7 linked regions of the Cricetulus griseus genome follow. The protein of the gene in region 4 purifies or fractionates together with the protein of the main gene of each other region. This does not show direct contact. Links are inferred from orthologs where the notes say so. Each region holds a gene or a part of one and is shown on either strand. Other genes may lie near its edges. The genes, in order: Nedd9, Shc1, Sos1, Crk, Asap1, Dock5 and Pxn.

Region 1 (4,029 bases), on a different chromosome or scaffold from region 4:
AACATTAAATACCCCTGACAGTCTTCCCATGAACAAATAAAAATATAAGTAAAATGAAAACACACTAGCTGTGTACTAAGTAGAAAGATTTACCTAGAGCAATAGCTTGCATTCCATAGCCCTCATAATTGTAAATAATTGCTAGCCGCCTGGAGCTGTGTATTTTAAGGACAAAATGAAGAGAAGTTGGCTGCTCCCTAGTTATGAACTCTGAAGTAGCTAAACAAGATCATCCAGTTAACAACAGTGGGTGGGGGGGGAGGGAAAAAAAAGAAAAACAGAAACCTTCTGAGAGAAAAAAGAAACCTTTTGAGCCTGACATAAATCTGACAATGATCCATTTTTAAGACCATGCTAAATTTATAGTTTATGGTGCAACATAGTGTTTAAGACGTAATTCCAGACTCCTGGGTTTTACAATCTAATAATTATCTGGTTTTACTACTTAAGTAGCTCAAATTAAACAAATAAATGCCAACTTTGTATTTCATTTTGTAGAGTTACCATGGAGAGGGGGGCAAAAGAAGACTGTCTTGAGGGAACATTTGGGATGAAATAGTTCTGAACTTTCCTGGGACCAGAACTCTTAAGGAGTTACAGATGATTTCTGTTTTAGTTTTTTCTCTTGGTAGTGGCTAAATCATGAGTATTAAATCCCGTGCTCATCAGGTGGTGGTACTGGGAAAATCACTTGGCCTCTGTGGGTCCCAATTACTACATCTGAGAATGAGTGTGCCTTCGAGGGATGGGAGAGTTCAATATGACAGTCTTGTAACTCGCTACTCATCATGCCTCTACTTCAGCATCTTCTACGGAACATGACTAATTCCCTCCAGGAAGAAAGTTATCTTACATTAACTAATAGACTTTGTGACAGAAAGAAAGTGGCTCACTTCTGTTATGGTCAACACAGGGTGCCTTTGTATCATTTGTTTTCTTGGGGAGCTCAGCATTTTTGCTGGTGAGGTTTCCTATGATAATAGTAATAATAGTAAAAACACAACCGCCACACATTTCTGTTGCTTGGCAATGCATTCGTCTCTGGGTAGACCTTTCCACTTGGAAGGCTTTCCCCAGTGGCAGCTTCTCACCTGCAGTGTACATCACCAGTCCCCATGACATTTCTTTCCACAAAGAGCAAAGCTAAACGTGATGAGGTCACTAAATCAAAGAGACTTTACGTCACTCTCTAGACTGTGGCACTCCAAGCTCACATCAGTCATTAATGTCCCAGTAACAGACGGAGGAAACCCTTTCCCTTTCCTGTACAATACAGTCCTGATTCAACAACGGGGAGAAAAAAAAAAAAAAAAAAAAAAACCATCCCAGGGTAAGTACCATGTAGTACTTGTTCCATTCTGTGAACAAGGAGACTTAGCGACGGGGGAGAAACACTTCCAAAAGACTCTGTTCCTGCCAGGTAGGAAGCTGCATCTCCCTCTGAATACTGGAGCCATCCTTTCTTCTGCTCCTCCCCACCGATGCTCAGAACGAAAGCTGATAGTGGGGTGATAATGGATACCTGGGTCTTCACACTGCTGGAACTTTCCCAAGAGCTATCTCCCATGCTTTGCCACAAAGACTGGGTATTCTGGTTCAGGGCTTCTAAACAAGATTTACAGACACCGAACAAAAGATGGATTTTAGCCTGTGGCTGTTAGGTACAGCAAGTGTTTACATCCACCTATCCAAAAGGAAGGGCCAGAGGCTACATACCTCAGAGGGAAGCAAAGTTAGCCCCTACTAAATCAGTTATCAGAACCTGTTAAGCCGCTTGACCAAAATGATTTTTTTTTTTTGTAATAGCACTGTCCTTTGAAAGTCGAGGACTCTTGTCTATTCAACGGGCGGGGGGGGGGGGGGTAGGGGGTGGGTGGGGTGGCATGGCTCAGTCAATGCAATCTGCTACTGGGCCAAGTCCCTTGGAAACTGCCTCCTCAGACGGGATGTGCTGAGCAAGTCATAATCATTTTGCCAAGAGTAACCCCAGAAACCGTGGTGCAAAATGCAATGGAAAATAATGCTGCCAAAATATGAGCACGACATTCTGTAAGCGTCAGGGAAAATAAGCCAGCCGGAGCCTTCATACTTTCAGACCCGTTCAAACCCCAATAAAGTGTTACCCAGAAATGACTAACACTCGTTTATTCATAAAACCGAACTATTTAAGGATGCTGGAATTCTCCATCATCCGCCCTATGATAGTGTCTGGGTTCTTAGTTTGCTTCTACCGAAAGTGCCTAGAGCAGATAGCTTCGCAGATCGAGTATTTAAGGCAAACTCGGAAAAAGTGCTTTTTCAGCCCGTTAGAGACTCAGTAGTTCTGATTCCTCTTATTAAGGCTCCCCAGGTCGGCTCTGGTCAGGCAGTGACCTGCGACTTGCCTGCTGCGACTCTAACCTCCAGTGGCTGCGGCCGCCCCTACACTAACTTTTCTCCACTGCCTTCCGCTACTCCGGGGCAACCTTCAGAGCTACGTGTTGCAAGCTAGCAGATCTGAAAGCACAAGTCGGCTTGCGGGTAAACCCCAGGGCACCCTGGAAACCAGATCAGACGCAGCTCAGCGAGACCAGACACACCAGGGATCCCTGCACAGTTGTCACGGTGGGAATCCCGCAGGCACAGCTGCCCCCAGCTTCTCAGGAGACTCGTGCAAAAGGCACTCTTACCTTATACTTCATCGCGGCAGTGATCGGACGAGCCCTGGTCCTATCCTAGTCACACAGTGTAGCCCTGCAGTGTCTGCCGCTCCATTGAGCACACCGCAGGACGGAGAGCAGAACCTTCGCCTCCCGCGCACTGCGGAGCCTCTGAGCTCAGCGCTTAGGCTGAGACCCGCAGATCACGGCCCTCATTTGCATACCTCGCCGCCATTGGCTGGTGGGGGGAAGGTAATGCCTCCACTCCGCCCACCTCTAACTTCTGAAACACTCCCGACAAAGAGCGTGTAATATGATCATTTCTTTTCACGTTATCAAAAGGCGGAGGAGAAAACAGAGAGTGGGGAGGCCGCCCAAACCACCCCGCCAAAGGAATAAAAAAATTTAAAGAGGAAAGAAATAGGAACCAGACAAAGGACATACATTCCTTTTGAAATTAACCCAAATTTTTTGAAGAATCCGAATTCACAAAGTCGTCTGACGATCTCTCTTCCTGTGACCCAGCAACTAGTTCATAAACCCATTTCAAAGCCATTCACCTCTCAATCTCTACATGAAACGAGCTGGGGAAACAAAAGGTTTTCTGTCTCCAGACCCCCCCCTTTTTTTTTACTAACCACCCCTGCTGATACTCTCTCTCTCTGTGTTCCTTTCTCTTTCCCTTCCCCTTTCTGTGGCTGTTTGCTTTCTTTTTCACCCCCTTTCAGTGTTCAAAGCACTTTGCAAAGTCAGCCTGCTAGGAGCTGGAATGCATTTCTCCCTCAGTGAAAAGGAACTCACAAGCACCAGGTTTGCCTAGAACATCTCACTAGGACCTCAGAGAGGAGTATCAGACACATTAAGAGACCTTGGCGGTCTTTGATGAGGATAAAGGCTAGATGGGAACGCATGGAGGTCCTGTAGAACAGTCCCTATATATCATTCCTGTCCACCCAGCACTATGTTCTTTGCTGGCTTTGAACACTGAGGCTTTTTCCTTCTGACCTCTCTCCCCAAAATGACCCATTAACCCACTCACACTTATTACCCCGGGAGAAGAACCCCACTGTTTGATAAGCCTGGTTAAAAAAGAACAGCTTCTCTCTGGTAAAGCACAGACCATGATTTGTGTAGCAGTTCCTTTTGGAGATTTCTATAGAGAAAGAGAATCTCGAAGGAGAAGACAGAAGTTCCTTTTCCTTGGGCCTCAGGACTTGGAGCATTCAATGACTATCCCCTAGTTGGGATGCATTCCAGCCAGACTGTTCGACTCGGGTGGAAAAAGCAGCTTACTTTTTTCCTGACTAAGCTGGACCAGAATCAATTGTGCCTCCTGCCTCTCTCTCTAAATTCCCATCGGATTAAAACTTTTGAAAAAAAAAAAAAGATT
Region 2 (4,087 bases), on a different chromosome or scaffold from region 4:
ACTCTTGGTCATTCCTTGCCTCTGGATATGAACGCTCCTAGAGAAAGCCATCTCTCAAGATGAAGAATCATTGTGTGTGTTTGGAAGTGTATGGCTGTGGCAGAATTTTTCCTCCTCTAAGAGCTGAGGTCTTACTTAGTAGACGGGATGACAGAGTTTCTTTTCAGGAAGAAGTTCGATATTCAGTAACAGCTCTCCTGGGATGGGGACTAAGGGCAGGTGAAAAATCGGAAGAATGATATTTAACCCGTTTTAAGTTCCGGTATTGTTAATCACAATCATACAGTTTTTAATTCTCCAAACTAAACCTAAAGGTAGTTTGGAGGTGAGCCTGTAAAGAAACTACCTTTTACTTCTTGTATTTGCCTCTCCCCCCCCCCCTTTTTCTTTTTTTAAAGGAAATAAGTGATAGTTTATTCTGGAGTAATGCTGATTGGTCACTTTCTTTAACTTCCTGATGGCCTTTAGCAGAGCTGTGGCAGGAAGCTGTGGGCAAAGGAATATGGGCTTGGTGTTATTATGCACTTATGGCCAGATCCCAACCTCTGGTATCCCTTTCTTCTTCCTGTCTTTATTAACACTGATTTGTTTATGGCCCTATTATCCCTTTGTGGCTTGTAGGCACCAGTTCTGTTTGTTTCATTTTCAGACCTCCAAGGCCAACTCCTCTACTAGTGTGAGGGACACTGTTGGGTGGACCTTACAGCCTGTAAGGAGAGAAATATGTCTGTAGGTCTAAAGGTAGCCTGATTGTCTCTACATCCTCTGGAAAGGGGTCCAGGAAGTCCATTGGTCCTTGGTAGGTAACAAGCCTAAGGGACAGGCTTGCTCTAGCTCTTGCCTAGTAGCTCCCAGACCACCGCCCAAATTGGCCTTATTCCTCCTGTTTCAGCTTTGCTTCCCTCTTGGCCTCGATCTACACCCACTGGGACAACTTTCTCTTCCTGGTTCCTTGCTCTTGTCCACAGCTGTTGTGGCTGAGGATGCTAATGGCCCAGGTTCCCTGGGGCTGCCACCTCACTTACTGTATGGTGGGGGGTGGGGATGGTCTAGGCTGTAAGAGAAATACTAAACTCTAGATCACCCCCCCCCCTTTCCTCCCTCAGCAGCTTCTGTTTCCTCCTTTATCCCTCCTAACCTTCCGGGCTTCCTGCTCTCTTTGGCTAGCCCATGTCAGTTTGGATTAATCCAGAGTTCCTCTTAACTCCTTCCTTTCCTTCTTTCCTCTTTTTCTTATTCTTCCATCTTTCTCTCCTACCTGGCACCTTCATCCTCCCCAGACAGACCCTAGTTGTTTGTATTGGGTAAGGGAGAGTGGCCTGGCTAGCACACATTGTGTGAGGAGGTGTCTCTGCCCCTCTGAGCCTGTGAGTCAGCATTGTCCTTGGGATTGGTCTCTCCCCTTGGTTCCCCGCCCCTGGGGAGGAGCCAGTCAGCTCTGGGTCCAGCCTGTACTCCTCAGCCATAAGAGGCTTCCTCGCAGGGCTGGGCAAGGATGTGGCCTGAAACTGTCTTGGTCTGACGTGGGAGAGCAGAGGCCACTTGTCCTTCGCTTCCCTAGGTCCTCTGTTATCACCAGGCTGCAGAGGTCAGACCAGGCTAAGGGCCTGGGGATGCCCCCTGCCTGGCCCCCTTGCCTGAATTTGGCAGGGGGGCCAGGCCGGGCCAGGCAGCAGCCCCCCTTCTCACCCCAGCCATGGATCTTCTACCCCCCAAGCCGAAGTACAACCCACTTCGAAATGAGTCTCTGTCATCGCTGGAGGAGGGGGCTTCAGGGTCTACCCCCACAGAAGAGCTGCCTTCCCCGTCAGCCTCATCCCTGGGACCCATTCTGCCTCCTCTGCCGGGGGATGATAGTCCGACTACTCTGTGTTCCTTCTTTCCCCGGATGAGCAACCTGAAGCTGGCCAATCCTGCTGGGGGGCGCCTGGGGCCTAAGGGAGAGCCAGGAAAGGCTGCTGAAGATGGGGAAGGGAATGCAGGGGCAGCCCTTCGGGACTCAGGCCTCTTGCCCCTCCTCCAGGACATGAACAAGCTGAGTGGAGGCGGCGGGCGCAGGACTCGGGTAGAAGGGGGCCAGCTGGGGGGCGAGGAGTGGACCAGACACGGGAGCTTTGTCAATAAGCCCACACGAGGCTGGCTGCATCCCAACGACAAAGTCATGGGACCTGGGGTTTCCTACTTGGTTCGGGTGAGTGTACATCCTCCTTTCTGCCCCCTCCCATTCCCCATCCAGTTCCTCTGCTCACTCCAGATTTGCTGGGACTTCCTGCTCTTCCCCCAACATCTGTGGCATTCCCCTAGTTCTTAACCCTGCCTGCCACATCCCTTCTCCAGTTCTATGCCTTCTGTTCTAGCCTGGGAGTCTTCTGCCTAGGTCCCCTTTCCTTTGATCCCTACCCCCAGCTTACACAATGGTCAAGCACATCAGAGGCTTTTAGTAAGTGTTGAATGAAAAATGACTTCTGGGTTCTTCCCTCTAGACTCCTCCCTTTTCCATAGCTGTCACTCCATCCCACCCAGTGCCTACAACTCCTCTCACAATCTCTCCACAGTGCATGAAGGTCCTCTTTGGTGGCCCTTCTTCACTATGGGGTGGTGGCCCCAGGAAGTAGGAAGGCTACTTTACCTTTACTTCCCTTAGGGACTACATAGGGCACAGTCCTAGAACCTTCTGCAAAGGGTGGGGTATTGCGGGGAGGGGGCAGCTGATCCATCCTTGCCTCCTTCCCCCACAGTACATGGGTTGTGTGGAGGTCCTGCAGTCAATGCGAGCCCTTGACTTCAATACCCGGACTCAGGTCACCAGGTTAGTGGAGAGGCAGGTGTATTGTTGGAGTCTTGTATGGAGGAGGAGGAAAGGTGGGCATTTGGTGGTGGTGCTGATGGTGACTTCTCATGGGGTGGCTAAGAGACCTGAAAGTTACACCAGTGTGTCTGACTGCAAAGAGCCAGCTCTGGTCTGGAGCACCACCTTACCCACGCAGCCTGGGAGACTGTGGGACGATGGATTACAAAAGGCTGCTTTTGGGAAGGGAATGGCAAATTTGGTAACTGGGAAGAGGTGGGGCTATAACCATTGAGGCCCTAACCCAATCAGCCAGGAAGCAGCCCCTCAGTGTCATCAAATATTAAAGGCCCTTAATTCAATCCACCACGACAAAGAGCCTGGAGTGCTCTGAGAATCTGGCCTGCTCTTCCCCTCCCCCAGCTTTGTGGCAGCCCCAGGCAGTGGGAGGCCAGGAGTAGGTCTGAGTACCCCTGTTTCTCTAGGGAGGCCATCAGTTTGGTGTGTGAAGCCGTGCCTGGTGCCAAAGGAGCCACAAGGAGGAGAAAGGTATGTGTGGTTGTGGTGGGCAGGGGGAAGGCAACCGCAGGCACAAGGGGAGGAGACAGAAGTGTCTCCTGGTGTTGCCAGTGCTCAGGTTCTGAGACTTGGGGCCTTTCCTAGCCCTGTAGCCGCCCACTCAGCTCTATCCTGGGGAGGAGTAACCTGAAGTTTGCTGGAATGCCAATCACTCTCACTGTGTCTACCAGCAGCCTTAACCTCATGGCAGCCGACTGCAAACAGGTGGGTGGGGCTGCTGAAAGGGACGGGGGTAGTTATGGGATGATGGGGTGGGGGGATCTGGAGGCCAAAAACCTGGAGTCCTCAGGAGCAACTGGAGAGTAGAGAAGGAAGAAATTAGAGGGCTTGGGTATAGTGACAAATTTAATCCCAGTACTCCAGAGGCAGAGGCAGGTGTTTGAGTTCCAACTATACAGTGAGACCCTGCATCCCTGTTACACCCCCCCACTCCCCCCACCCCCGCCAAATAGAACAAAATTAGAAGAGTGTAGGATTAGAAGCCGAGAGAAAGACTGGGCGCCAAGGTCATAGCTGGGGTGAGGACACGCGGGATCTTGACCACTCCCTTCCTTCTCCATCCCCTGCCCACATGAGAGAATGAGAGTGGGTGCCAAGGTCATAGCTGGGGTGAGGGTACACGGGACCCTGAGGCTGCTGACCTTGATTGTTCCCTTCCTTCTCCATCCCCTGCCCGCATCAGATCATTGCCAACCATCACATGCAGTCCATCTCGTTCGC
Region 3 (3,500 bases), about 86 Mb from region 4:
ATATGCAGGCAAAACACTCATACACACAAAATCAAAAAAGTTGCATTTATAGAGTCCTTAAAATTACTGAAGTTGAAAAGGTTGAGTGAATGTTAATTTTATCCTTAAATAAAGTGAGGTTATTGTTTTGCCCTTTTGACTAAACAGCAGTTAGAAGAAAAGAGCGAAGATCAAGAAGACAAGGAATGTGTGAAACAAGCAATAACAGCTCTGCTTAATGTCCAAAGTGGCATGGAAAAAATATGCTCCAAAAGTCTTGCGAAGCGAAGACTGAGGTGACTGTTCTTATTCTAAAGTCTCTTTGTTTCTACCCTGAAGCTGTGGTATAAATTCAGGGGCCTTAGCTCCCTCCTTAAGTAAACAATGAAGAAAAAGATGTTAGTGACAAGCTTGGTCTTTCAGAGGAAGTGACATCAAAGCCAGGAGAATTTGTTATTGTTTGAAAAACCTTTCATATTTGTGCATTTTCCCTGCATACTCCCAGACAAGACCTCCTGAGGAGCAGCGGGTGAGCTGAAGGAGACAGAGCAAAATGTACCGGGTAGATTTACACCAGCGACATTGTTATGTCAAAGTCAAATTAGAAGTGTTCTTTAGTTTAGTGATTATATAACTTGAGACATTAATTCAGAAAGCAGACCTTCCACTTTCCTAATTATAATGTGCTGTCTGCTTTTATCGTTGGGTCTTGTTCCTTTAAAAATACTTAGAATTTACTTTCATCTCTTAGGACTTTTTTTTTAACTGTATTGGGCTACTTTTTGATCTGTCTTTCTAAATATTTAGTACTCAGGCAGAAATAATCATTTTGTACGTGAATCTATATAGTTGAATATCACTGTTCTTTTTATAACTCTGAAAATATTTCTGTGCTATTTTAATTTCTAGAGTTGTATAATTACATATATTTAGGGAATTAGTAAGCACATGTCAGTGATGTTTAAAGTTCTAGTTTGCCCTGCCACCTTATCTGCATGAACTGTAAATTCTGTCTCTGTACTAATAGTGTCTCTTCCTTTACCCAGTGAGTCTGCATGTCGATTTTATAGCCAGCAAATGAAGGGGAAACAACTAGCAATCAAGAAAATGAACGAGATTCAGAAGAATATTGATGGTTGGGAGGGGAAAGACATTGGACAGTGTTGCAATGAGTTCATAATGGAAGGAACTCTTACACGTGTAGGAGCCAAGCATGAGAGACACATATTTCTCTTCGATGGCTTAATGATTTGCTGTAAATCAAATCATGGGCAGCCGAGACTTCCTGGTGCTAGCAATGCAGAATATCGTCTTAAAGAAAAGTTTTTTATGCGAAAGGTACAAATTAATGATAAAGATGACACCAGTGAATACAAGCATGCTTTTGAAATAATTCTGAAAGATGGAAATAGTGTTATATTTTCTGCCAAGTCAGCTGAAGAGAAAAACAACTGGATGGCAGCACTGATATCTTTGCAGTACCGGAGTACCCTGGAGCGAATGCTCGATGTAACGATGCTTCAGGAAGAGAAGGAGGAGCAGATGAGGCTGCCTAGTGCTGATGTGTACAGGTTTGCAGAGCCAGACTCTGAGGAGAATATTCTGTTTGAAGAGAACGTGCAGCCCAAGGCTGGGATTCCAATTATCAAAGCAGGGACTGTGATTAAGCTGATCGAGAGGCTTACATACCATATGTACGCAGGTAAGAAACATGAAATAGCTTTTATTGTCTTTCTCTGCTCAAGCTGACTGGTTTATTATGCCTCAATAGAAAACTCACAAAAGGCCAAGACTTCCGATAGAGAAGCTTTGACTAAACCATCACCCTATTTCTTTGAAGTCTTTACTACTTCTACCATATTTGCATCCATCATTTTAAGCCTAGAATCATAGTTAGAAAGAAAAAAGTTACCTGGTAAAAAGCAGTAGGAACAGGATGAATTATCAATGTTAGTGTATCAAAGTTTCTGCCCCTGTGTACTGCTTTTCTTATTCTATAACTGAGTTACAAACTATGTGGAATTTTAAATATTCACCCATCATCAAAATTGTGCTAGTTGCAAAAAATATATACAGTATTGCCTTTTCTTAGTCTCCATTCCTATATATATTAAGGAAATCTGGAAACCAATTTTAGTATTTTGTTCTTAGTGTTATTTATGCAGTTTTATCTTAGCAGGTTTTAAAGACAGACCAGTCTGAACAACCTAGAAAGATGCTAGGCAAGATTACATAGAGTGGCTGAGAGGTAAGGGGCATATGTGAGTCGTTTTATATGATCTGGCACAGTGGGGCGTCTGATCACTGTCACATCTTAGCACTGTGGTGGAGTAGACAGCACTGAACTCACACTCTGTCTCTTCATGTCTCAGAACCACAGATTCTCATCTCAAAAATTAACATCCAAATAGCTACCTTAGTGTAAAAAAAGCATAAATGAAATACTGAATGTGAAAGCTATTTAAATATAAATGTAAATTTTCTTTAAAAGACATGTGTGATTTAAAATCAGTATAATTCATAATATGGTATTTTTAAATACCTGAATGTGAAAATTAACCTCTATTCCCATATTTCTCACTTAAATATATTCCTATTTTTAGGAAATGTATGCTTCTGAGAAAAATATTTTCCCTTTTTTTTTTTTAAGTTCTATAAGTGGGTCCGCTGTTTCCTTTGGAAGGTGTCCTGGTGCTAGTAAGATTAGCCTTTTAAAATATTAATTTGTTTATTCACTTAAGGAAAACTGAATAGCATTTAACAAGGCTTTTCTATTCAATTTATCCAATATACAAGCAGAACTCAATATGGCTGAGAACTACCAAAGAGTGAGAAATTAAATTTGAGTAGTATTTTTATGAGTGTTCTCAAACCACTTTATAAAATAATATATGCCATTATCCACATATCTCTGGGATAGATAAGCTAGAGTTTAGTTTTGCTTTCAGTTATTTGGACTCTTAACAGGTAAATCTTTGAGGCCTTTTCCATAGTAAATGGATAGCATTTACCAAAGGTGAGTTTTGCCATGCTTTGGCTTCTCTGAACGTGTATTATCCAGTGGTAGGTGCTGAATGTTAAGAGAAGCCTCACCTGGGGTTCCAGTTTTACTATAAATTGTCTCCTAGACACTTCTATACGCAGTGTTTGTTACTCAGAAATTTAAAAAAAATATTAAAAAAAATTTAAGTTGCTCTGTAGTTATATAAAAGATAAATAGGTTACCTCTCTTTCTACATATATAAAGCTGTTTTAAGAGTTACAGTTTTCAGTAATTATTACGACCTATCTATTTACTTGATCTTCATCAACCTTCTGTATACTGTTTAAAATTATAGCCAGGCAGTGGTGGTGCACCCCTTTAGTCCTAGTGCTCAGGAGGCAGAGGCAGGTGGATCCCAGTGAGTTCCAGGCCAGCCTGGTCTACAGAGCGAGTTCCAGGACATCCAGGGCTACACAGAGAAACCCTGTCTCAAGAAAAGTAAAAAGCAAAGGAAACAATCAACAACAACCAAATTATA
Region 4 (3,500 bases):
TCTCTTAGATCCTTGATTGAGTACAGATTGATGGAGGGTTGTATCCCATGCTATGCCCTACCTTCCTATTTAGCTGAGGTTGACATTGAACATCAGATCTTTCAACCTATATTTTCCAGAGTGTTAGGACTCTGGATATGTACCACTGCACCCAGTGTATGTGGTACTGGATATCGAACTCATGGCTTCATGCACTCTCCCAACAAAGCCATCTCCTTAGTCCCAGTTTTCATGTTTTTGAAATAGGATCTCATGTATTAGACTGCCCTTAAGCTCATGCATCTAGAATGACTTTCGAACTCCTGATTTTCCTGCCTCCAAAGAATAGATTTGGGGGTGGGGTTATGAGACAGGGTTTTTCTGTGTAGATCTAGCTGTCCTGGAGCTCACTCTGTAGACCAGGATGACATTGCACTCATAGAGATCCATTTGCCTCTGCCTCCCAAGTGCTGGAATTAAATAAAGGCATGTGCCACCACTGTCTGGCCAAAGAATCAATTTTAACCAATGGGGGGGAGAGAAAGAGAGACAGAGAGTAGCTAGAGAGATGGCTCAGGGGTTAAGAGCACTTAGCAAAGTACTAGGATTTGGTTCCCAGCACTACATGATGGCTCACAATCACCTCTAATTCTAGTTCGAGGGTATCTAATATCTCTTCTGACCTGTGAACACACATAGTACGTACACATAAATACTATATATATATATTAGTCTTGGGCTGGAGATTGAGAGCACATACTGCTCTTAAAGAGGACCCTAGTTGAGTTTCCAGCATTCACACCCAGCAGTTGACAACTACCTGTAACTACAGCTGCAGGGTATCCAAATCCCTCCCCTGAACTCTATAGTCACCTGCATGCGCATGCACATACCTCCACACAGACACACAAGCATATAATTACTTAAATCTTTGAGCCTCCTGAGATGACTCTGAATAGGAGCATTTACTGCTCTTGCAGAGGACCTGGGTTCAGTTCTTTACGCCCACATGGCATCACATAAAGCCATCTGTAATTCAAGTCCCATGGAATATGATGCCATCTTCGGAATTGTACATTGTAATGATGGTAATGTATAGCTTAGAGTAGCTTACAAGTTTCTCTCATTTCTTGTTGGAGCAGTTGCACGGACCTCTTAAAACAGGAGGGCTTGAGGCCAGGCCACATGCCTTTAATCCCAGCACTTGAGAGACAGAGACAGGTGGATCTCTGATCTTTGTGAGCCTGGTCTACAGAGTGGGTTCCAGGACAGCCAGAGCTGTTTCACAGAGAAACCCTGTCTCAAGTCCTCGCAACCCCCCCAAAAGGAGAGCTTGCTGTGCTTACTGAGGCTGTAGTGTACATTTGCTTACTTTATTTATGGAGTAGCAGAAGAACTTTGTGAGAGAATGATCAGAAAGTGTGTGTGCTATGCTGTCTTTGCAAACCAAGTGGCCTGGTCTCCCCTCCCCATGGTGATGGCATCTTTCTTTCCAGAGGGTGCTCATTTTATTTATTTTATAAATGTATAGGTGTTTGTCTGCGTGGATGATGCATCATTTGGGTGCCAAGTGCCCAAGGAGTCGAGAAAATGGGCATTAGATCCTTGGGACTGGGGTTAAAGTTATGAGTCACCATGTTGGTGCTAAGATTGCCAGGTCCTCTGGAAGAGGATACTCAGTTTTAAAGTGTGATACAGCCCATTTGGGCTGTGAAGAAAAGGGTTTGGTTTTGGTTTTTCTTTTTTTCTGGTTTTTTTCATTAGTTCAAATTAGAAACAAGCTTTGCTTCACATGTCAATCCCTTCTCCCTCTCCCTCCAACCTCCCACCTGCCCCCCACCCCATCCACCCTCCACTCCCCAGGCAGGGTAGGGCCCTTGAGGGTGGCTCCCCAAAGTCCACCACATGATCCTGGGCCGGGCCTAGGCCCTCCCCCATGTGTCCAGGCCAAGAGTGTATCCCTTCACGTGGGATGGGCTCTTAAAGTCCCTTCTTACACTAGGGAAAAATACTAATCTACTACCAGGGGCCCCCTAGAGTGCGGAGGCCTCCTAATTGACATCCATGTTCAGGGGTCTGGATCAGTCCTGTGCTGGCCTCCCAGACAGCAGTCTGGGGTCCATGTGGTTTTTCATTTTTTTTAGGATCCTTTCTTTGCTGACCAAATATTAACCACATATGTATGAAAAATACATAAATCTGTTTCATCGGCAGTATAGTATACCTTCAAATGACACTCTGCTCTGTCTTTTCCAGGAGTGAGTCCCTCCCGGCTCCGAATAGGAGATCAAGAATTTGATTCATTGCCTGCTTTACTGGAATTCTACAAAATACACTATTTGGACACTACAACATTGATAGAACCAGTTTCCAGATCCAGGCAGGGTAGTGGAGTGATTCTCAGGCAGGAGGAGGCAGAGTATGTGCGAGCCCTTTTTGACTTTAATGGGAATGATGAAGAAGATCTTCCCTTTAAGAAAGGAGACATCCTGAGAATCCGGGATAAGCCTGAAGAGCAGTGGTGGAATGCAGAGGACAGCGAAGGAAAGAGGGGGATGATTCCAGTCCCTTACGTGGAGAAGTATAGACCTGCCTCCGCCTCAGTATCGGCTCTGATTGGAGGTAACCAGGAGGGTTCCCACCCACAGCCACTGGGTGGGCCGGAGCCTGGGCCCTATGCCCAACCCAGCGTCAACACTCCGCTCCCTAACCTCCAGAATGGGCCCATTTATGCCAGGGTTATCCAGAAGCGAGTCCCTAATGCCTACGACAAGACAGCCTTGGCTTTGGAGGTACATAATGTGCAAAATGTAGAAAGACGAGATCTGCTACAGGGTCTCCCTTTCAGACCTCTTACAGCTTTGTAGGAATGCTGATGCAGCACCAGCTTTGTGATGTTGTAGATGTCAAACCATTAAATACTGATCTTGGCATTTTATGTGGGTTTTCTCTCTTTTAGAGAAAACCTGTTTTGCAATGAGTAAACTTAAAACTGTGTAATTGAATGTTCTAATTGATCTACTAAAACTATTTTGACTAATAACCACCTGAATTCATAGTAATTAACATGAAGTAACTTTTCTCATCTATATCCTAACTTCTTTGTTGCTTTCTGTTTGTCATTGTCTAAAACAAGATGGGTTCACACAGATTAGAATGTAGTAAGTGGTATGTAGCAATATACTTGAGTGGAATTTTTCCTTTTTTTTTTTTTTTTCTGTTTTGGAGACTGGATGTCTATGTAGCTCTGGCTGGAATTCACTTTGTAGATTGGCTGGTGTGAAACACACAGAGAACTACCTGCTTCTGTTTCCTGAGTGGTAGGATTGAAGGTGTGTGCCACCACACCCAGCCAAAAACTCCTTTTATTTTAGTGGCTAGCCTGGAAAGGCTGAATGATAGCCTTGGCCAGGCCCTGGGTTTTGTCCCTAGCGTCACACACACACACACACACACACACACACACACACACACACACACACAGAGAGAGAGAGAGAGAGAGAGAGAGAGAGAGAGAGAGA
Region 5 (3,500 bases), on a different chromosome or scaffold from region 4:
CTACCTCTCTCAGCAACCTTCACAGAGTGCGCTCTCAGAAGGTTCCATGGGTTACACACCAGCATTAGAATTTTAACCTCTTTACTGGGATGCGTGTTTGGTTGGGGGCTCATAGAATTTCCCTGGGCACGATACTGAAACATCATAAAAAATGTTCCTTTATTCCCAGGAGTCTCAGTTGGAGTCACTGGTTACTTAGCAGTGACTGTATCACCTCACTGCAACATTAACAGACAAGAGTGACATCTGGACACTCTCCCCAAGTAGGACTCTGTCTCCCCCCCCACCCACGCCCTGCCCTCCAGAGGAAGCAGGTTTACAGATGGGATGAGCTTGATTCAAGTCTACTGGGCTGGAAAGTGACACCAATGGGGGACTTCCGACTCTGTCATTGTCCTAAGGTGGTGTTCCAGCAAGTGCACACTGAGAGCAGGCAGGGCTCTGGCTATGAAGACACCAGGAAGCATCTCTAAGCACCCCCCCCCCCGCCGCCCCACTGGTCCTGACCAAGAAAAGCAGCCAGGGTGGCTTGGCCCATTTTCAAAGTGACTTTGTCTTGTTACAGCACCCACTTAGCGACAGAAGGGGGAACGTACGTGAATGGCCATGAGGTGAATTACGTTACCTAATAGGACCCTCACACCCGCCCGTGGAGCGGAGAGAGCAGAGGGATCAATGGTCAAACGGACAGACGGACAGACTTGGGTACGTACCCACCACTCCTGGTCCTCTTCCCCCGTCACGATGATCACCTCTCCTTCGACGAACGTGAGCTCATCGTCATTGTCCGCCTGGCAGTCATAAATGGTCTTCACACGCCTCACTTTATTCTTCCCCTAGAATAAAGCAAGCAGGTTCCGTTAGAGAAAACACGAAGAAGGGAGAAACAGAACAACACCTCACAGGGTGGGCCAACCCCGGCAGGTGTTTTCTCTCTTTGCCTGGACTTCCCCACGTGTGTGTGTGTGTGTGTGTGTGTGTGTGTGTGTGTGTGTGTGTGTGTGTAGAAGACAGTCTCAGGAATGGCAGCCCCTCCTCTGGCTAGCATCAACTTTCGGCAGAGAGCATCCAGAGCGGGTAGCGACCACAGCTCAGCTTTCCCAAGATGCATGAAAGGACCTGTCCTTCCTTGCTGTCCCCACAGCATCAGCTTGCACAGAAATGACGGCAGAAGCTATGGAAATGAGCAGGATGTGCCTTTTTTTCTGCACGGTGAATGGACAGCACAGATGGGTTTCCTGGGGCCTCCTGCAAAACAGGCCAGGGCTCGCCAGGGAAACCCAGGGAACAGACAGGGTCTAAACAGTTGTGATCCCCACCAGGACTTCTACTGGCTGGACTTCAGTTCTCTGAAGACAGGGGGTGTAAACAGAGGCATTACCTTCTACAGAATATTTTGAGCACCCAGTTAATTAGATTATTAGCAATAGAAATGGCAAGTTACCTCTTTTTTTTAGTTCAAGCACAGCATTTGTGTGTGTGTGTGCGTGTATGCGTGTGTGTAGGTGTTGGATTCCCTCAAACTGGAGTTACAGGCAGTTATGAGCTGCCATGTGGGTGCTGGGAACTGAACCCGTGTCCTCTGGCAGAACAGCCAGTGCTCCCAACCGCCAAGTAGTGGCTTCAGCCCGGCAAGTTATCGCTTTAAGTGCTCTGGGCCAAGTGTCTGTTTCCCCGGCCCTGGCTTCTTTCTGGCTGTCCTGATGCTCTTGGGGGGAGGGGCTGGGATAGTGTGAGTGCTGGTGAGGCTGGAAGGCTGACCAGAACCATAGCAGCCGATTGTCCTCTCAACAGTGCCGAGAGACTGAGAAGGCCTGTAATGTGTTAGTTTGTGACGGCGGCGAGGACTGAACGGGACGCTGTCTCTAAGGCAGCATGAACTGGAGTTCTGCTCATTATCAGACACCAGAGGATCGTCAGCAGCGCCAGGGAAGGCTGCAAGAATGGCAAGCTGACGATGGTGAGCTCAAGTGTGTGTGGGGGAATGGGGGAGGGAGGGGGGACGGGGGACGGGGGACCGGTCATTTTCACGTTCCCCGTGATGGGCAGCACTGGTATAATAAAATGACCCAGCGGAGATGCTGCGTGAACTGGAAAGAGCTTTGGTCCTCCACCATTATCTGTGGAGCTTGTGTCCTGTGGGACACCTTTTTGGAGTGTCACACTTACACAAAGACTGTGGGGGCCTTGGGAAAACAAAAAAACCCAACATTTTTATATAAAAATAAAGTTGATAATTTATAGAGTGGGACACAGTGCATGAAAAGTTTGGAGTGACTGGACCACTGCCAAACCCCATCTGTGGGGGGTTGGGGGAGGGGCTTTCTCTCTGGTTCTGGTGGGAAGATATAGCGGGGAAGGGACAGAGACTGATCCTAGGGGTGGGTGGAGTTCAACCCTCATGGCTTCTGAGTCAGAGACACCATGGCTGAGTGCTCGTTATGTGGTCACTATGTTCTGCTCGCTGGCCACTGCTGCCCCTGACACCATACAAGCCCCTCTTGTACCCGAGGAACCAGGTTCAGAGAATGACTGCTAGCCAGGCAGCTGCGTTGGGCATTGAAGCCGGGTCCTACGGCATGCCGGCAGGGATCCAAAGGCAGTGTTTGCAGCCACCGGGCTCCAAACCACCACAGACGCTTCGATGGGGGGGAGAGAGCATATGGGACACTGTTCTTACTGAGGTGGAGCATACATCCTCCCGCCACCTTCTGGAACTGCCAGAGTCTGAGGATGAGGCTTAGTGGCAGAGTGGAGAGCAGACACGCATCTCTAGGTCCTGTTCCCAGCACCATGAAAGGAAAAGTGCGATGGCCTTGCCAAAAGAGCCCGATTCCCACCCACCGTGTTGATTTTCCTCGGCAGTGGTACGGGCGTCTCCGGCAGCGTGGGAGTGAGGTCATTGGAGTCCTCAGATGCTTGCTTCTGGATGGCATCTCTGGCCTGCACATTGAGGGAGAGATCCCCAGCGTGTGACTTCTGTGTGACCTCTGAGGGTGGCTGCACCTTGGATGAGACTTCACTGGCCTGGGACTTTGCCAGCAGGTCTCCCAGCTGTGGCTTGGGGGGCAGGTCCTTCACCTGTGGTTTGGGAGGTAAGTCTGAAAGCTGGGGCTTAGGAGGAAGGTCACCTAGCTGGGGCTTGGGGGGCAGTTCTCCAGGCTTAGGCGGCAAGTCTCCTATTTGGGGCTTAGGGGCCAGTTCCGTGGGCTTTGGGGGCAGGTCTCCGGGCGGCGGCTTTTGGGGTAACTCTGCCAACTGTGATGATCTCTGAAAAACTTCAGGTGGGTTGTTGGCTTTGTCGAGGGAGAGATGATGGCTGGTTTCTGTCTTCCTTAGTGCCACTGTGGGAAAGGATAAGAGGCGGTCACGGCGAAGACGAAATAAAGGTGGAAGGCATCACAGTCATGGGAAAAAGGCCAAACACCAGCAAGAGCACCGACCTGGCCGGGCAGTAGTGGCACATGCCTTTAATCACAGCACTTGGGAGGCAGAGGCTG
Region 6 (4,178 bases), on a different chromosome or scaffold from region 4:
ATTTTTTAAACACTTAGTATTAAGTACACAATGAAAATTTACTTTTAAATTACAAAGGTAAAGTTGGGCGGTGGTGCACGCCCTTAATCCCAGCACTTCAGAGGCAGAGGCAGGTAGACCTTTGTGAGTTCGAGGCCAGCTTGGTATCCAAAGTGAGTTCCAGGATAGCCAGGTCTATTACACAGAGAACAACAACAACCACAAAAATACAAAGGTAATAAATGACAAATTATGTAATCGTGTTTAACTTTGAGTTACAAAATTAACATTTAAAACGAGAGGTAACCGAAACACTTTAAGAAAGATGCTGTTCTCTCATCCAAGACTTCAAATTCGGGACATCCTTTCTAAAGAGGAAAATCAGGAACAACAACAAAACAGAACAAAAAACTATTCAGGCATAGTTTGCAAAAAGTCACCAGAGCTCACTCATCTCTAATCAAGCATGTCTGTCTTTTACTGCGTGTTTTAATTTCATGTTCTATTCTTGTCAGGTTCCAAACTGGAAAGAAAGCCTCCATAGACTCCAACAAAAACACAATTTCTCGCAATAAGTATTTTCTCAGATGGCGAAGCTAACTGGCTGTTTAGTCTGAAGTTTTATTACTAAGTAAGTAGAGTCTATCTCATTCTGGTCTCTTCTGGGGTAAGCGCATCTCCCCGCAGAGGGCGCCACGCTCCTCTCTGTGCAGTTCAGCTGCCACCTTCTGGAGTCCTTAGTCCAAGTCTGGAGAAAGACCGAGAGGGATGTTCCCGGATCATCCCCACAGGGGTGCCTTCTGGGCAGGGGGCCATTTGGAAAGGGGACCCCTTGGAGCGGACACCTTCCCTCAGTGTGAAACTGTAACTGGCGAGAATTAAGTCCCTGAGTTTGGGATTTCCAGATTAGAACTTTGTCAACAGTTTCCTAACGGAAGGTCCCCTAGATCGGATACTTTTGAAGCGCCTGTGTCCCTTGCACTAGTTCTCTGTGGGCCTTGAAGCCGGGCTTCCGGCTCTCGGGGCTTCTGCAGACGCTCCCGGAGGCGAAGGCGATAGCTCGCCGCTCATTCATTCAGCAAATATTTACTGAGCGTCCGGAGGCGATCCGTGACCCTCACCAGCTCCTCCTCCTCCGCGCGCCGCCGCAACGCAGCCCGGGAGCACTGGGGACCGCGGAGCCGACCCTGGGAGGACCAGGCGGCCAGCTCTAGGCTGTGGCTCGGGGTGGACGAGGCGGAGTCGGCGGGGGAGGCGGGCGGCCGGGGCGCAGAGGGCGCGGCCAGCGGGAGGAGCCGGGGCGGCGCCGGGGAGGGCGCGCGGGGCTTCGCGGCCGCCGGCCCCAGCAGGTGACCGCGGGCGGGAGGGTGGCGCGGGCGTGCGGGGCCCCGGGCGCGAGCGAGGCGGGACGGCTCGGCGTAGACGCGGCCGGCGCGCCAAAGTCGCCCAAGTTTTGCCGGAACATGGCGGAAGAGTCCGACCGGCGCAGCAGCGCTCGGAGCACGAGTAGCTACAGCCGCTAGCGCCGCGGGGCGAGGTCGTCGCCATGGCCCGCTGGATCCCGACCAAGAGGCAGAAGTACGGGGTTGGTGAGTGTCTGCCCCGCCCCACCCCGACCCGAGCGCCACCGAGTCCGCGGGCTTTGGCCCCGCCGAGCTGGCGCACACTCCGCCGCCCGGGTTCCCTGGTGCTGCAGCCCCGGGAGTCCAGCCCTCCCGGGTTGCTAAAAGTGCTTCTAGGCTTGGGGACTCTGGTCCCCTATCCGAACACCAACTCCAGCGTCGCTCACTGTGGGAGCGCGTCGGGTCCCCTTTGCCGTAGGTGGCCAGCAAGGGTCGCACGTGGGATGGTGCGCTCTGCGCCTGCCCTTTCCCAGATCCGACTCTGAAGCCCCAGAGTGCCCCTCCTTCCCTCCCTGGGATTGCAGTCCCCTCCGCAGTCCCAAACAGAATGAGAAGCCGAAGTTGCGAGTGGAGATGATGGAAGAGACACAGAGTGTGTGACGTGGGAAGGAGGGCAGGGGGTCCTGGGGCTATGTGTGAGGACACCCATCCGACCTACTAGAGTGGATAGAGAGGTGTGACACAGCTTCCCTGAGGGGAAAGAAAGAGCTAGGTCCCGCGCTGGCGCGTGGCATTCGCGGTACCCCAGAGCCCCGTGGTTGTTGATCTGTTTGTCCTCTTGGTTTGGATCCGAAACCGTGGCTATGTGGACCCAGGTGGAAAAACTTTCCACTTTCACTTTTGATTGAAGGAAGTCAGGTGGGAAGCACTCACCTTTGGCCGGACAATTGACATGACAATTAGACTTTAAAGGAATAAACAAGTGTGTTGTTTGAGAATTGTATCACTTTCTCTGGGATTCATTCACTTGGCAGGTTTGAAATGCAATCCTTTACTTCACTCCCTTCAGCACGCCTCTTTTTCACCACCTCCCGGGCCCGCAGAAACACTGCCTTAAGTAATTAGTCTGTTGTGACATCTAGACTTCTTTCAGACATAAGTCCTATGTGCCTCCGTAACCGTGACTCAGGTTTCCCCTTTCGTCTTTAGTATATTATTTAAATTTGATGCAGTCTGAAAGCCTGCACATATACCTTTGTGTGTGTGTGTGTGTGTGTGTGTGTGTGTGTGTGTGTGTATATATATATATATATATATATATATATAATATCCAAAACTTTTTATTTTAAATTTGGCTTTTCTTTTAGAATTTTTTGCGCCTCCACATGGCTGCAGGTCACATGGCTGGGTGAGATTTCTTTAGCCCCAGATCATCGGGTCTTGACTTAACCCTCAAACTAATGGTAGGACTGTTGGCCAGATGCCGGCTTGTAAGTAGCTGGTCGTTGTGTAAGTGAAATACTGTAAAATTGATGAAGGGATGGGTGCGTCAATCATATATCATGTCCAAAGCCTTGGGTTCTCTCTTGCATAAAAAAGAGGGAATTCATTTATTTGAGCAATATAGAGTACTAATTAATTAGTAAAAGCATGTTTAGCGGTAACCGCTAATTTTAAAAGGCCTTTTCTAATTTTGCCTAGGATGAAAGTTGTTTCCAACAAGTATGTTTCCGACAGTGTGCTTGCTGTATGGCATGGGAGTAAGAATGTTTCCAATATTTCCCTGTGCTCCAATATTTCTGTGCTCAGGGTTTTGCTTATTTATCAGAGGTCGTTGAAAGTCTTTGGGGCAGATCTCAACAAAGTTGTTCCAGGGTGCAATCTGAGACACATACTTCACTAGACACAGCGGATTCAGGCAGATGTGGATGTTGAGTCCTTGTGCTCTTGTGTTTGGAAGCCATCCTGGCTACAGAAGGGCCCGAAGGAGCCAGTTCTCAGAGTTCCCATAATGGAGTCCTTTCCCTTCACTCCCCTTCTGTGAACTCTGCAGTAGACAATCCACTCATCTCTGTGGTGCAGTGTTCCATGGAGAGTCATCCTGTGGGGCTTTGCTCCCTTCTGCGTGCCCTGACCCCCAACTACAGGACACTGCCAACACTGCATGCCTCTCTAGCCTTTCCCTTGGGGTTCAAATCTGCCCACTGCTTCCTTCAGATCTACTCCTGCTGCTCTTCACCAAGGCTCATACCTACTTTGTTGCAGATTATTGACTGCTGATGTAGGAGGAGAGGGTGGGGGTCATTGGTTTCTCTTGTAGGATCCCACCAGCCCTGTTCTCCCATACCTTCTGACTAGGTGTTTGTTTGTTTGAAGCAGAGTTTCTTTGTCTAGCCCTGGCTGCCATGGAACTTCACTTTGTAGACCAGGCTGGCCTCAAACTGATGTTTTTGAACCTGCCTTCTAAGAGCTGGGATTAAAGGCATACCACCATGCCCAGCATGGTTAGTTGTATTAATTCTGCCCCAATTGTACATACATGGAGGGTGCAAGGGTAACTGAAAGGGGAAGTCCGCCTTCCATGCTGGGGTGAGATTTTCTGGTACCAAGAAGACTTTGATGTCACCTACTCTTCTCATGCTCAGTAAGTAAGCCCAGTGAACTCATTGGTTTCCCCAAGTTGGACTTTGAGGGAATCATACATTGGTTTGTCATTAGTGCCCTATAAAAAGGGGGTATGTGTTTGTTTATGTCTCCCGAGGGGAAGAATTCTTGCAAAAGAAGGTTATGGTTTTTTATTTCTGCCAGTCAGAAAGTTTTGTCAGATAAACAGTAGTCCCCCTTACAGTGTCATTC
Region 7 (4,022 bases), on a different chromosome or scaffold from region 4:
GGCCTTCGAACAACTTCTCGTCCAGCCATACAGCAGGAGCCAGGGGTAGGTGCACCCACCCTAGTGACAGGTAGTCAGGGCTGCTAGGAGAGGGCATGACCTCAAAGGCCCTTGCTTCCCTTTTCTCTGCATGGGAATGGAGCTACAGACAGGGCCGCCAGCAAGGATCAGAGCTCGAGCCCCTGGTGTGTAGGAAGTTGAGTTCCTTAGATTTGGTATCTTGTCTCTTTGAAATCACAGCAGTCCCTCCTGCAGGCTTGGTGTCTGGGACTTAAGGAGTCTGAGGAGTCTTGTGATCCTGCCCTTTCCTGCTTTATCACTCAGGGCAGGTACTGCTAGCCTCCAAGCCTACTTTCCTCAGCTCCAAAGACAACAGTTTGGCCTTTTAGGTCACCAGAAGGGGCACTTGTTTGTGACCACGCGTGTAGATGCCTTTAGTGGTTCCTAGTAGATGGTGATCAGTGCAGTGCAGCCACTGCCCCTCGATTGCCACTCACGAGGGCCCAGGAAGCAGGTCACTAGATGCTGAGAGTGAGCAGGTCAGTGAGCAGTGCAGGAAGGAGGGAGGGTGTGGTGAGCGGGGCTGGACTGTACCCAGGCCGTGGCACTGTGGAAGGTCCCAAGATGGGAGGCTATGGCAGGAAGGTCAGTACCTCCAACTCCTGTCCCTCTAGCTGTCCCTTCCTGTCGAGAACCTGAGCCTCTTGTCGGCTACTGCATGCCAGGGTAATGGCAGCTTGTGTTGGAGATCTGACCCACCCCCCATTAAAAGCGGAGTCATGGGGCCCTGGAGTTTCTAGGGCTGGGCTGCTTGCCAGGCTTTGGCAGAGCAGTCTTACTCCCAGCTTGTTGAGGGGGTGGCTGCTGCCGAGCTGGCTTCATGCCAGCCCCCTACCTCTCTGCATACCTTACCCACAGCCTGGGGCCTCAGGAGGAGCTTAGAGCATGGAATTCCGCTCCTACCTGGAGCACAGGTGCTCCCTAAGGCCACCCCCTGTCTTTAGACTTGGGCTGAGGCTCTTAGAAGTCCAGAGAGGACCTGGCTCTATCTACCCAGCCCCTCCCTGTGCTGTGACATGACGTAGGACTCCTCCCACCCAGCTCTCCCAGTTGCCCTCAGGAATCAGAGTTCTAAGCAGGCATTTCTTGCTTACACCAGGCAGCAGCAGCCTAGCCTTGTCAGGAGGAATGCAGAGCCAGGCATCTAACCCCTGAGGGAGGAGAGGACGGGCAGCCGATGTGGAAACTCCAGGTCTCTTCTCCCATCGAAGCAGCAGGTGTCTGCCAGACAGGATCTCTTCAAGTTCAGGAAGGCAGGACACTGCCCCTGGGAAGTGCCCAATAGGGCCAACTCTCACCAGTGGACGTCTTCTCTTTGCAGACGCCCTGCTGGCAGACTTGGAATCAACCACCTCCCACATCTCCAAACGGCCAGTGTTCTTGTCAGAGGAGCCCCCTTACTCCTACCCAACTGGAAACCATACCTATCAGGAGACTGCAGTGCCACCCCCTGTTCCACCACCCCCATCCAGCGAGGCCCTCAATGGCACGATCCTTGACCCCTTAGACCAGTGGCAGCCTAGTGGTTCCCGATACACTCACCAGCAGGTAAGGTGGGGTCTGCGGAGCCCTTGGGGGCTGAGTGGTAAAAGGAGCTGATCTGCCGAGGAGATGGAAAGCCATTGGGGATGGACTGGGATTCTGGGCTCCTAGTCATACACTGCCCTTCTCACCCACCATGTGAGGGGCCAGTGACCAAGTATTAATCACCTGACTAGCTGTGGAAATTCCCTGGTGAGACAAGCTATGAGCAGGAGCTGCCTGGGGGTGGCCTGAGTAAAGTACTCTTTCTTCTGCAGCCTCCATCCCCGTCACCTGTGTACAGCTCCAGTGCTAAGACTTCCGGTGCCTCTAACCCTCAGGACAGCGCTCTCTGTTCCCGAGCAGGCGAGGAAGAACACGTCTACAGGTACAGAACCAGCACTGTACATCAGCCCGGCTTCTGGGAAACCCTAGGGCCACTGGTGGAACTATAGAAGGCCTGAAGGCCCCTGCCAGGCCCTGTGCTTGTCAGCTGGCTCCCCTCTGCCCTGTCACTGCCTTCTCTGTAGAGACAGCATCTCTGTAGTTGAGAAACTGAAGCAAAATTTCCTTCCTCCTTGCCTTACCACATTCCTTCCCTACCCTCCGCCTTCTTGCTGAAGAGACTTGGTAACATTCCACCCCTCCGGCCTTGAGAATCTGGGGCCTGCCACATCCAGTGCAGGGCAGAAGAGTCTTACTTGTTTCCTCTCCTTCTCAAAGCTTCCCCAACAAACACAAGTCCGCAGAGCCTTCACCTACCATGATGAGCTCCTCCCTGGGCAACAACCTCTCGGAGCTTGACCGTCTGTTACTAGAACTGAACGCTGTGCAGCACAACCCTTCAGGCTTCCCTGCAGGTGTGAGCGGGTCTCTGGACTACTCATGGGCCTTTGGGTTCCTAGAGGACTCAGGGATGAGCAACCATTTTGTTTCCTTATCTCCAAGATGAAGCCAACTCAAGCCCCCCACTACCTGGAGCCTTGAGCCCCCTTTATGGTGTCCCAGAGAGTAACAGTACCCTGGGAGGAAAAACTGGGCCCCTGATGAAAGAGAAGCCAAAGCGAAATGGAGGCCGGGGCCTGGAGGATGTGCGGCCCAGCGTGGAGAGCCTCTTGGATGAACTGGAGAGTTCTGTGCCTAGCCCTGTGTGAGTATCCATTAGGGTCTCCCCAGGCTGGGGAAGCTCTTGAAGTCTCACCCCGACTGTCTTCGGGCTGTGTGGTACCTGTCCATCAGCCCTGAAGTCACCTGCTCCCTACAGTGTCTGCTACTTGCCAGGTCCTGGGGATATGGCATGACCCGGCAAAGCCAGGGTTAGCACAGGTTTGCTGATGTGGCACAGGGTTTAGATCATGGCTGTGCCAGCTACAACAGTCTTACTCTCGCTCTATAAGTTGGAATAAGCCAAAGTAGGGCATGGTGACACATGGTTATAATCCCAGCATTTGGGAGGTCGAGGTTTGGAGATCTCAGGTGCAAGACCAATCTGGGCTATATAAGTGAGTTCCAAGACAGTCTGAACTGCATGAGACCATAGCGCAAAAATACGACATAAACTATAAAATAGGTAAAGCAGACAGTAATAATGGAGATGACCCTACATAGTAAATAGAGTGAGACCAAATAGTATATAATAGTATATAATGTTGGGGGGGGTGGGGGCTGGCTCGTAGCTGTGGCAATCACAGCTATTAGGGAAGCCCCTAATAGCGTCAGGTCTTGTTTATTTTGAGGTAGGGTTTCACTCTATATCCCAGACTCTTCTGAAACTCACTATGTAGTAGCCCTCCTGCCTCAGCTTCCCAAGTGCTGGGTTACAGGGATGAGCCACCATGTGTCAGTGTTTATTGATGTGTAATAATCTCGCATGTGTATAGTGTTGAGAGGCTTTGTAGTGGTGCCCCTGTCTTCCTGTAGGGGTACTGTGAACCACCTACCTTCTCTGGTCACCTCACCTCAGCACTGTTTCTTAGCTAGTCACTCTTTCCCAGGGATGGGGATCCCTAAGGTGCTGCTGGGTTCTGGTGGCCTTCCCTGGAGTTGGAGGTGTCGTTGATCTGGAGCCCCCCCCGTGGAGCCTGGGGCTGACCCTTGGGCTCCTTACTGACTCCATGCCTGCCCCACAGCCCGGCTATCACTGTGAACCAAGGTGAGATGAGCAGCCCACAGCGAGTCACCTCCAGCCAGCAGCAGACACGCATCTCGGCCTCCTCTGCTACCAGGGAGCTGGACGAGCTCATGGCTTCACTGTCGGATTTTAAGGTGCCCTCTGATTCTCTCTGTCTTCCCTGCTCCCATCCATTACCCTTCCTCAGTATGACTAGCAGCTCCTCGGGGCCCTGGAGGAGAGAGGCTAGGTAATATTCAAGACTGAGCTCCTTAGCAGCTTGTGAAGGCAGAGAAACCAGAGATGCCTTTAGCTGGAACATTCCTCCCTC

What was found.
Region 1: the proteins of Crk (region 4) and Nedd9 purify together in Homo sapiens (affinity purification with western blotting; 3 studies listed by BioGRID). This does not show direct contact. The link is inferred for Cricetulus griseus from reciprocal best matches to the Homo sapiens genes CRK and NEDD9.
Region 2: the proteins of Crk (region 4) and Shc1 purify together in Homo sapiens (affinity purification with western blotting; 3 studies listed by BioGRID and IntAct, with this or other methods). This does not show direct contact. The link is inferred for Cricetulus griseus from reciprocal best matches to the Homo sapiens genes CRK and SHC1.
Region 3: the proteins of Crk (region 4) and Sos1 purify together in Homo sapiens (affinity purification with mass spectrometry; 6 studies listed by BioGRID and IntAct, with this or other methods). This does not show direct contact. The link is inferred for Cricetulus griseus from reciprocal best matches to the Homo sapiens genes CRK and SOS1.
Region 5: the proteins of Crk (region 4) and Asap1 purify together in Homo sapiens (affinity purification with mass spectrometry; 3 studies listed by BioGRID and IntAct, with this or other methods). This does not show direct contact. The link is inferred for Cricetulus griseus from reciprocal best matches to the Homo sapiens genes CRK and ASAP1.
Region 6: the proteins of Crk (region 4) and Dock5 purify together in Homo sapiens (affinity purification with mass spectrometry; 3 studies listed by BioGRID and IntAct, with this or other methods). This does not show direct contact. The link is inferred for Cricetulus griseus from reciprocal best matches to the Homo sapiens genes CRK and DOCK5.
Region 7: the proteins of Crk (region 4) and Pxn purify together in Homo sapiens (affinity purification with western blotting; 4 studies listed by BioGRID and IntAct, with this or other methods). This does not show direct contact. The link is inferred for Cricetulus griseus from reciprocal best matches to the Homo sapiens genes CRK and PXN.

What each region holds. Positions count from the first base shown.
Region 1 is NC_048596.1:261,016,479-261,020,507, forward strand, and holds the start of Nedd9 (enhancer of filamentation 1), read right to left. Parts: upstream 2,801-4,029; 5' UTR 2,682-2,800; coding exon 2,670-2,681; intron 1-2,669. UniProt on the Homo sapiens protein: Scaffolding protein which plays a central coordinating role for tyrosine-kinase-based signaling related to cell adhesion. As a focal adhesion protein, plays a role in embryonic fibroblast migration.
Region 2 is NW_023276806.1:65,125,204-65,129,290, reverse strand, and holds the start of Shc1 (SHC-transforming protein 1), read left to right. Parts: upstream 1-1,287; 5' UTR 1,288-1,696; coding exon 1,697-2,191; intron 2,192-2,738; coding exon 2,739-2,809; intron 2,810-3,273; coding exon 3,274-3,337; intron 3,338-3,451; coding exon 3,452-3,571; intron 3,572-4,049; coding exon 4,050-4,087. UniProt on the Homo sapiens protein: Signaling adapter that couples activated growth factor receptors to signaling pathways. Participates in a signaling cascade initiated by activated KIT and KITLG/SCF.
Region 3 is NC_048600.1:3,652,780-3,656,279, forward strand, and holds part of Sos1 (son of sevenless homolog 1), read left to right. Parts: intron 1-147; coding exon 148-275; intron 276-1,025; coding exon 1,026-1,681; intron 1,682-3,500.
Region 4 is NC_048600.1:89,155,508-89,159,007, forward strand, and holds part of Crk (adapter molecule crk), read left to right. Parts: intron 1-2,235; coding exon 2,236-2,771; intron 2,772-3,500. UniProt on the Homo sapiens protein: Involved in cell branching and adhesion mediated by BCAR1-CRK-RAPGEF1 signaling and activation of RAP1.
Region 5 is NC_048603.1:24,041,848-24,045,347, reverse strand, and holds part of Asap1 (arf-GAP with SH3 domain, ANK repeat and PH domain-containing protein 1), read right to left. Parts: intron 3,345-3,500; coding exon 2,845-3,344; intron 837-2,844; coding exon 714-836; intron 1-713. UniProt on the Homo sapiens protein: Possesses phosphatidylinositol 4,5-bisphosphate-dependent GTPase-activating protein activity for ARF1 (ADP ribosylation factor 1) and ARF5 and a lesser activity towards ARF6.
Region 6 is NW_023276807.1:222,938,933-222,943,110, reverse strand, and holds the start of Dock5 (dedicator of cytokinesis protein 5), read left to right. Parts: upstream 1-1,378; 5' UTR 1,379-1,525; coding exon 1,526-1,568; intron 1,569-1,575; exon of another isoform or gene 1,576-4,178. UniProt on the Homo sapiens protein: Guanine nucleotide exchange factor (GEF) for Rho and Rac. GEF proteins activate small GTPases by exchanging bound GDP for free GTP. Along with DOCK1, mediates CRK/CRKL regulation of epithelial and endothelial cell spreading and migration on type IV collagen.
Region 7 is NC_048597.1:95,638,555-95,642,576, forward strand, and holds the start of Pxn (paxillin), read left to right. Parts: upstream 1-1,222; 5' UTR 1,223-1,237; coding exon 1,238-1,277; intron 1,278-1,381; coding exon 1,382-1,608; intron 1,609-1,859; coding exon 1,860-1,969; intron 1,970-2,304; coding exon 2,305-2,441; intron 2,442-2,529; coding exon 2,530-2,731; intron 2,732-3,710; coding exon 3,711-3,846; intron 3,847-4,022. UniProt on the Homo sapiens protein: Cytoskeletal protein involved in actin-membrane attachment at sites of cell adhesion to the extracellular matrix (focal adhesion). Recruits other proteins such as TRIM15 to focal adhesion.